Linked DNA regions of Schizosaccharomyces pombe. The gene in region 2 interacts genetically with the main gene of each other region. Each region holds a gene or a part of one and is shown on either strand. Other genes may lie near its edges. The genes, in order: pqr1 and vtc2.

What was found.
Region 1: of vtc2 (region 2) and pqr1, a mutation in one rescues a mutant of the other (synthetic rescue), as found in Schizosaccharomyces pombe (one study listed by BioGRID).

The regions. Positions count from the first base shown.
Region 1 is NC_003424.3:2,420,858-2,425,731, reverse strand, and holds pqr1 (ubiquitin-protein ligase E3), read left to right. Parts: upstream 1-1,905; 5' UTR 1,906-2,528; coding exon 2,529-3,941; 3' UTR 3,942-4,286; downstream 4,287-4,874.
Region 2 is NC_003424.3:5,245,960-5,251,288, reverse strand, and holds vtc2 (polyphosphate synthetase), read right to left. Parts: upstream 3,570-5,329; 5' UTR 3,534-3,569; coding exon 3,366-3,533; intron 3,159-3,365; coding exon 1,122-3,158; 3' UTR 651-1,121; downstream 1-650. Other genes in the region: clr6 L-associated factor 1 Laf1, read left to right, coding at 1-148; SPOM_SPAC14C4.10C (Nudix family hydrolase), read left to right, coding at 4,199-4,616, 4,679-5,250. UniProt on the Schizosaccharomyces pombe protein: Accessory subunit of the vacuolar transporter chaperone (VTC) complex.

The DNA.
Region 1 (4,874 bases), 2.8 Mb from region 2:
ATACAACAAGCGAAACATAAGTTAAAGTTGTGTACGAAATCATTTGAACCCTAAATAAATTTGTGTTCTATACATGCAAACTTTAGACAGTTTGAAATCCGAAAAATCACTTTTGTAAAAAATGAATATATGAATAAATATATATATTAACATATATTGATATATGTATAATCTTAATACAGTTTACAAACTACTGTCTTCTTAATTAAGAAAACATGGTTCTCATGAAAACTTATATTGTTATTTAAGGTCTTGCTGCTATATATGCATTAGCAAAATGCACATTTCCAAAAAATGAAGTTAAAATTATCAGTTTACAAAAGACATTGAACTAAAGATCAAATTTTTCCACAACCGAATTAAAATGTAAGATTGTGTTTTTTAGAAGAAGCCAATGCGCTAATAATAATGCCATGCTTGCATTGCTTAAAAACAAACGAACTTCTTGCCTTCATGTAGCAAGGCTATTATCACGAATTTTCATGTTAATTTCGCTATGAATGCTTGGTCTTTTCTGAGTTAATCAATACTATTTAGCTAAGGTTTCGCTCATATAGAATACGAAAATTTCGCATTTATTAATGCAAATTTCCTCGATGTTTTTAATATATTGTGTTGCTAATCTGACTATATAACACTGCCTCTTCAAGGGACAAATAGTTTTAACAAAATTTGTTTACATTATTGAGTCAAGCAATTACGACCCGATGTTATAAGCATTACGCAGATTTCTTTTACAAAAGGGAGGTCTCTTTCATTTACCCCAAGCTTAGCATTACAAAATCATGTGCAAATGAGAAGACTACTTTTAGGGAAAATAAAAATCTAAACTTGATTGGAAAGCGAAAGTTTAAATCCTAAATTGTTTGAGGTTGACGTGTTAGTTTTTCACCGTAATAAGTAAATAGCATTGTATAATGAATAAAAGAAAAATTTTGATAGTTTAACAATTGCTGCTATTCATATTTTAATAGAATCTCAAAATTCATACTAATCGACTTTCTTATCCTTCTATATTCTTCAATATTTCAAACTCGTTTTAAGTCTCTCCTATAGCTTGGGATTATTCAATGAAATTGTAATTGTCGTCCTTTCCTTTACATTGTGAATACTAAAAAATTGCTTCTTCCAGAATTGTTTTATTGACTCACGGATTTGCAACATGTCCTTCTCCTCTTTTTTTTTTTTTTTTCTTTTTTTTTCTAATCTGTAAAAAAACCAAAATTTTACAATCTCGATAATCCTTTTAATGTCTATAGTCATCAAACACGTTTATCTACTTACTCAATACGATAATGTACAATAATTCCATACGAAACTTGCCCTTATCTGTTTTAGTTTTTTGTGGCACACCGTTAACTAATCGTGAATAAAATGGTTATTACAGTCATAGTCCGGTTTAATCGGATCAATCAAATATAATTAGATACCTACTTATTATCATATACATACAAAATTAAAAACAATACAAAAAAGAGGAAAACAAAGAGGCTCAACTTCTTACCGACTATCCTTTATCTCTCTTTTTTTTTTATTTTTTTTTATTTTTTCTCTTTTGGCACAGTGCTACAGAACATTTGTTCAACAACCCAACTCTGTACGTTTCACACATTGTCAGCAAATTGTTGACAATCAGCACAAGCCTCATTCTATAAAGCTAAGGAAGATTTCGTACCACTGCTGGTCTTCCAATTGCCCCTGCTTCCTTTCCTTTTACTGTAAGGCTTACCGGAAGGCCGTTTACTAATAACATTGCGAACCCGAGTGCGGTTGGGTAGTATTACCTATACCGCAAGTTCCTCCGCTCTTTTTATGACGTCAGGGGGAAATGCTTTGGTTTGCCACCTTGCGTCGTCTAACGCGGTGCAATATAAGGATGCGAAAGGACTGCAAGGATTTTCACCTGTCATGAACCAACAAGGATTTTGACGATTAGTACAGTGTTAAAACTTTTGAAATAGTATCGAAAATTCATTTACTATATGTATAAGTATTAAGGAGTTACGCATCTCTTTACAATTTTAAACACTCACGTACCTTTGGTTGAATCAAGCCAGGCAGGTCTCCGTTTGCGAACGACGGTTTCGGTTGATTCGAAACGTGGTATTAGAAAATCATTTTATTTATTTTCATTCCCATTCCATTTATCTATTCTATCTAATTTCGTCCCATTGTAGCTTGTTGTTTTATCACAAGCAGCTTTTAGGTCTTTGGGCTGTTACTTTTTTCTTCACTTCATTCCATTACTAATATATATATATTTTAATCAAAACGTACGCAATTCAACTCTGCGAAACTCTATCTTGCAAGCTTTCTTTCTCCATCTGCTTGTAATAAAGAAAATACTTAACTCCGATACTTCGATTGCAAAGGTCGGAGCACTCATTTTTATAAAAACCACAAAGCTTTCTCCTTCTTGGGCTTTGGTTTTTTATTCTGTAGTTTTACCGCCTTTCAAATATTTTGATTTCAATCTTTTGTAAAGGTTTCATCCTCTTTCATTTTCATTGAAAAAAAGTCCTTCCGATATGAAATTTGGACACGATTTTAAAAGGGCTCTCGAAAACGATATGCCCCCTGGTTGGGGCGAGGCTGCCATTCAGTACAAGGCCTTAAAAAAATGTATTAAAAGGTTCGTTTTTGAGCTGTCTTCCTTGGGTCTAAGTGCTGAGACCATCAGTAAATTGATGGCTCCGACTACCGTGGATCCCCAACAAGCTATTACGCTTAGTTACTCCCTTGGCAAAGAGGGACACATTGTTGTCCCCAAAATTATTATCAACGTAAATTTTGATAAATTGAAAACTGATAAGTTCGCTGCTTCAATGTTCAAGCAGTTGAATGCATCAAATATGATTACAACCGTCAGGAGTAATTATGCCTCAAATGTTCCTTCTACTCCTTCGGATTCTACTCAGCAGCCCCCTACCAATACGTTACCAAGTGTGTCCGCATCATCTCAGAGCGTAGAGACTTGTGAAACGGTTGATGAAGATATCGATACTCAAACTATGAGTTCTGACATGTCCGAAGTTCAAAGTATGGAAATATCGTTGAACTGTGACCACGAGTTTTTTGAAAAATTAACTTCGGAGTTGCAAAGTGTTGAAGGACTACAGCGTGAACAGCGTAAAATTCTTTTTAACGCAATTGATATCCTGAGTCATGAAATATCTCTTATAGCTTCCCCTAATTCCAAAAAGAAATACAAATCTCTTTATTGCTGGAGAAAAATTTTCGAAATTTATATGGATTCCGATATATTTATTTCTTGCAAGGAAGCTGATCAGAGTCATGAACGCACTCCCGAGCTCGCTGAGCGCCATTTGAAATGGTTTGACGATCAGGTCAGGCTAGCAAAATGTCTTCCCTCTTCCTCAAAGCATCGTGATCGTATTTTGTATGCTAAGTTTCTTGAACTTAATGAAAGTTTGTTGAAAGTTGCTTCTTTTCAGCAAATGAATAAGTTAGCCGTTACGAAGATCATGAAAAAGTTTGATAAGCGGACATCCTTAACCGCTCAACCTCTATTTTTTCAAGTTATCGAATCAGACCCTCTTCTTTTGGTCGACAATGCTTCTAAAGCTATATGCTTTTCACTCTCTTCTAAGCTATTCTCGATTATTCCTCAACTGAGGGATTTTGAATGCGCTATATGCTCTAACGTTGCTTACAAGCCGGTGAGATTAGGTTGTTCCCATGTTTTTTGTTTGCATTGCCTTATCATTCTTCAGAAACAGAAAGTTGATTTCTGTCCGTTGTGTCGTGCCAAAGAAGTTATGAAAGCCGATTCTCGCAATATTGATCACGCCTTGATGAATTTTATGAAAACATATTTCCCAAGAGAGATTAAGGAAAAGTTTGAAGAAAATGAGAACGATACGTTTACTCCTTCTTCAATTTCTGTTGTATCAGGTCAGAACAATTGTGTGATAATGTAGATAGACGACGGATTTGTTTCCGCTAAATTCCCAACCCTCTCTTAAAGGCTCAGGACTATTTTTTACTCACTATATTTGATTATCTGTTTTTTTATGTTTTCCTTGCCTAATTTGCATACTAACTTTCTATTTTTCTTTCCTCACCTAACTTTTATTGCTGTAAATAGCATTTTCGTGTGTTTCTTTGTTATAAACGTTTGCTTATAATTCTCGGTTTTTTCTTATATTTAGCTTTTTTAAATGCTTGTACATAATACTTGCTCATCACATACCATTAATCTTTACTAAACCGAACATATTTTTTAAAAATCAACATAGACAATAGACATTTATAGAATTTTAGCTTACAAAAGCTGTGTAATGTTTTAGGAAATCGTATTCGTAACTTAAATTTACCAAATTTGAACTCATTATTCATATTATTCGGAAGTTCTTGTAGTCAACCTCTGATGTATTTGTAAACTTAACGTAACTTTCAGCAACTAAACATTGATAGTCCGAAAAACAATGCTTTTATCTCAATTCCTAAGTTACCCACTTACAGTGTTTAATATGTCTCTCTTCACAGATTTTAATGAATAATTGTGCTATGGGTAGTAGTTTTTGTGTTTGGAACACTAGCAAAAGCTGTTTTTTGCTTTCTAAAACCGACTTTACCGGAGCATCAAGAAGTCCTTTGCCACGATTTCACTGAAAACTCCGAATGAACAAGATTTAAGATATTTGACAACGTTTAAATCCGAGTATTTCGCGGAGTAATTTAAGGCTGTTTACAACTATTACTAACTCAACCTAATATCGGAGTAGTTTTGAGCGTTGTACTTTTTTGTTATAAGTGGAAGTAATTATACTTCACCAGCTACTAAATATTCTAAGTGGTAATGGAATATATAGTGTCATTACTTAAAGGTCACATAGACTGAAAAAAGGAAA
Region 2 (5,329 bases):
GCGTAGAATCTTTGCTGAGTGGCACAATCGCCGTACTCAAGGCCTAAGCTTTAGGAAAACAGATGCTCAACGTGCTAGTCGTGTCGATGTGAACAAAGCTAGTCGTCTTTGGAAAGCTTTTCACGATGAAGGTTTCTTTGACGACTAATTCGCGAATCGTTCATAATCCTGCTGGCCTTTCAAAAAATAGATTTTTTCTCTCTTTTTCTCTTTTGGCGGGTTAGGGAAATAATCAAATTTAAAAATTTCGAAAAACCACGGATTTCATTTTCGTTGGATTATTTATTTTTTTCTAGGTGTTTTGAATTTTTTGTTTACAATCATTTGCATCTCGGTAAAACCTTTCTTTTTTTTTTTGGATATTTCGTCTTGAAGTCGGTGTCCATCGTTTTATCTGGCCAATAACCAGTAGTATATACCTCAAGTCCCTCTTTTCTTCCTTCGTTCACTTTTTGTTTTTTTATCCTCCCAAAGATGAAAAGCATCATGTAGTCAGCATTTGTATTAAAAAATTCATTAATACAGATGTGAAATAACTCTCTTTTAAAAACGTTCGTTTCTCCTATTTACAGTAGATATTGTTATTTTTATACCTAATAACCGATAACCATCAGTTCCCTAATCAGACGGATTTTAGGGGTTTTTAGTTATTTTACTCTACTCAATTAGATCCAATGCTTAGCGGATAATTAATAATTGATTATTTATTCTTTGCTATTAAATTAATTAAACCATAGAAATTATAATGGATGTCCGACGTTAATATCCCAGTATTAATATACCCCAGTGTTGTAATGTAATGAATATATGGTCAAATCCAGCTTTTCTTAATCCTTGCAAAAAAAGTAAATCGACACGTAAAAACTTGCAATACCCGTGCAAATTTTAGTAAAAACCGATAACATATATCCCCAAACCAATTAACCAATATAATAACCCAAGAGCCCTGCTCTAAATGAAGTTTTCAATCTTATTGCAATTTTCAACTTCACATTGCATCTAAATCAAGAATTTACTGAAATGTTATCTTCTAGCTTTCTAAAAATTTATTGCATTTAAATAGTAAATCCAACGTGTAATAAAAGTTGGAAAAATCCCATGTTGAATGATATCGAAACTTCTCAAGTAAACAATTTAACAAGCAAACGATCAGGTTCAATGAGATTTTGATAAACAGCATCCTTAAGTGCAAATGACATGTTGACAATAAGAGAAATAGCCAAAGCTGTTCCTACAATCAATGGGCCCCAATAATCAGTCATTGGCGCAGGACTGCGGGACTTGATCATTTGAGAACGCTTGGCATGAAGCTTCCAAGCATAGAACCCAATGAAAATAGCTAAAAGAGTATAAACTACTCCAAAAGCCTGACCAAGTCTTTCTCCAGCACTATTATATAATGCAAGAGCAAGAGAACCAAGCAAGACCACGACATGAAGCCACTTCAAAAACGTACGCTCATTTGCAAGCCAAACTTTGGCCTCAACCTTAATCGGACCACTGACTCTAAGCGGAATCTCTGGTTTCTTGATATGGGGTGGAGTAACAAACGTTTTACCATGATGCTTAAACGATCCATAAGTAGATGGCTTCAGCAAACCAGGTATGCTTCTGAAGTTGAAATGGTCTCCGTGCTCATTTCGATACACCTCTCTATTATCTTCGGGCTCTTCTGAAACAGGGTGCATTTCATTGGCCTTTAAACGATTGACCAAAGGTGAGGGTTGACTAGGTTCGGGTGTCATATTCTGCTTTAAAACTCTTTGATTCCTACGTTTAATGTAAACATTTCGAGAGCCCGCAGATCCCTCGGGATGGGAGTACACCTCTTGAAGATCTTTTCGAATATCTTGATCCATTGAAAATACCCACATTGGTAAAAGAGATACGTATTTTTCAAAAAGAATTGCAACACCATGCTCATATTTCGAAAAACCATCAATTTCAGAAATTAAATGAGAATTACGCAATTCAGAGATCCAAAGAGGTTCGTCTTCATCATATCTAACACATTCACGGATTTCTAGGACACTATAAGGGAAACGAGAATACTCTCCTTTTCTTAAGTGCTTATATGGGAAATCAGCATCGTCAATATCGTGACGATGCCAATCTTCGGGGTCTCTACAAGGACGTTCGATGTCCAAAGAGTCTTCACGAATCATAACCCAGTCTGAGTCAAGATTGATACGAACCTCATCATCGCCTGGAATCTGAAATGCGGTACGAGTGTAAACAGAACGGAGAACAGGCTGCAAGTGATTGTCAACGATTAGCTGTTCAACATCTTCAATTAGTTTCTTCTTCTGATCAGAAGCAGTTGTCGAGTGATCATCCTCAACCTTCCTAAAATCATATCTCCCACTTAGAAGCTCTCTAACCTTCTTCTCGCGGATAGTGAACCGGTCTTCACTATGTGAAAGAGTACTTCCTTGACGTACCATTCGTTCAACGATAATATCGGTTTTGGGAGTTAACTTTCCATACCAATGAAGTCGCAAAGAATAAGCCTGTTCTGATCGTTCCAAATTTTGAGAATATAAATCAAAGTTGGAATTATCTAAATACAAGCAAGTTGATATAGGATCCAAAATTCCAGATACACCATTTTGGTCTTTGTCAAATCCTTGCTTTCCAGAGTAATAAAGAACAGGAAGATGCCTCATAATGTATGTTTTTACTTCCATCACATTATCAGGATGGACCCAAAAACGAAACGTACGACGACGATACATACTAGAATTGTAATCAACATTGTGCTCATGCTTCGGTTTCACTTGCACGGAGTTACTTGGTGCTGAAAGACCATCACGTAAAGTATTATAAAGAGAGAAAATTTCAGCTAAAAGAGGATTAAATTGGACACTGCCTAAAGGACAAGCGCGAAGACGAACCTGAAACACAGGACGAAGAGAATAGCCGGGATAAAGCTTATCATGCTTCTTAACGATTTTAAAGAAACCTGTTAAGTTAAGACGAGTGTACTTCTCCAACTTCTTAACCGTTTCAGTACAAGAATCCAATCGTTCTAGTAACTTGATGGCTTCTTCCTTAGAAATGGGAGGACCATCAGGTTCCTGAGAAGCAGAAACTTTAGATTTTACCCAATCCACTGATTCATTTAATTCTTTCAAAATTTCGAGATGAAATGCATAAACCTACAGAAAATGTTAGCAAACGTTAAGCGTGATAAGCTTATTTTTCTTAAAATACAAGGATTTATACCAAGCATGGAATTTTAGATAACAGCATTCTACAGGAGCAACAAAATAAAATGTGTGATAATTTCAGGCTACTTATTAATTTAAGCTCCTAATTACAATCCTTGTAATACAAAATTTAAGACATATTCGCTTGCTACTTACCTTTTCCAGTTGGGCATCCATAACAGAAACAAACTTAGACTCATCATTCTCACCCCATGAGGGTGCTTCCTCTTCAGTTTTAAGCAAATGTTTTAACTCTGGATAATTCATATATTTATCTCTCCATGGTTCATAAATTCCAGCTTCTATACTGTCACTGAAACGCATTGCTTTCTTGATCCAAAAAAAAAGATGTGGTGTTGTAGTAAAGTATTTTCTCGCAGCGCCCTTTAAATTTTTAATTAGAGCAGCGAAGTGATCTCGTTAAAACGATTTTTGTTATTCCATTACGTATTACTATAATAACGATATGATAAACATCGCTAAGCAATGTCCACATATTCGTATTTCTTATTTTGTCAACAATATGAAAGATGTTATTGCAACTCAATTAAAACTTTACAATTATCTATCTGTTCTTACTCAATTGACAAATAATTTTAGTAAACAAGTGGAAAGAAAACGAAGTGACCACTCCATTATTGAGTGTTGTACATAAGCCTTCCGTTTTAATATACTATGAAATAGCTTTACATTCCTTTCAAACAAAAGTTTTTTTTTGAATAGATACAAGCCGATTCTAACTTCAGTGACGAATTTGCATCATCTAGAATTGGATGCTGGGTGCTTCATCTGTACTTCCGACTACATTGTTGTAAACTTCCGTTGAGGTAATCCTTACAATAGATTTTATTATCCAAATTTCTATTTATCCATTTTTTACTTTTTTTTCTTTCTTTAATTATTAGGAGCTGAAGCAACAGCACTAATAAGATTTACTCCTTTATAAGTGGAATACAAAATAATTCTTTTGGAAATTGAGCTTACAATATATGGAGTTGGAATTGGACTTATTAACCGGTCTACAATTACTTTCTGAATATTGTCCGAGAGTAACACCAAATGCTCCTCCAAGAAGGGCTTCGGTAGCTGTTATAATAGCTTTTAAAGAATCCCAAGATTTTTCTAACCCAAAATGGCCTCAATGTATTCCCATTACTTCTGTTCCTTATGTACTTCTCATTCAACGCTCATTTCGAGACACCGATCGATGGTCTGGTCATATGGCCTTGCCAGGAGGCACACGCTCTTTGACTGATAAATCAGACATTCAAACTGCACACCGTGAAACATTAGAGGAAGTTGGTATTGATTTACGAAAAGAGCATGCACATTTTGTTGGTGCTTTGGATGAACGTGTAATCACTTCTAATTGGGGTCAATTTCCGTTACTTCTTTTATCTTCCTTTGGTATGTATTATATTTATTTAACAAACGGTTTTTTTTAGGTTTCTAACTTTATACTTCCACAGTATTTATTCTTCCCTATATGCCGTCGTTGAGACTTCAAGAATCAGAAGTATTTTCTGCTCAATGGTACCCATTGGCAGATCTACTCTTGCCTGAATGCCAGACTAGGATCCAAATAGATTCTTCACGAGCACTTAAAAAGACTTATCCTAGGTTTATAAAGACTCTCTTTCATTTGGCTGTTGGAAACTTGATGTATTCTGCTATACGTTTAGAATTTGATCCGAGCTCAGCTACCTACTCGCTTCCTCCCTATCAGCGCCCTTTTCTTCGGGGTATCACACATAGTATATTTGTGGACTTATTCATTTTTCTCTCCCCTTCATCGGCAAGGCATTGTTTGTGTTGGTCACTACCGTACTTTCAGCATTATGATTTGCGCTTTATAGCATCTTTTTTTACTCAGTTTTATAGGCTTCGCTTGCATCAAGTATATCCACGGGGGAATTGGGTATTCACATGTCTTAATGGTTATTATCCCTATTTAAAACTGACTTTACTTGTTGGCTTTCTATTTCGTCTATTCCTGGTTTATCTTCTATTTCTAATCATTTCAGCCTACTACAAATCTTAACTTAAAGTCTTTTAAGTTTATGTGATTTGTCCTCTTTATTTATATGACATTTTCTAAACCAACAATTTTTGCTTACATT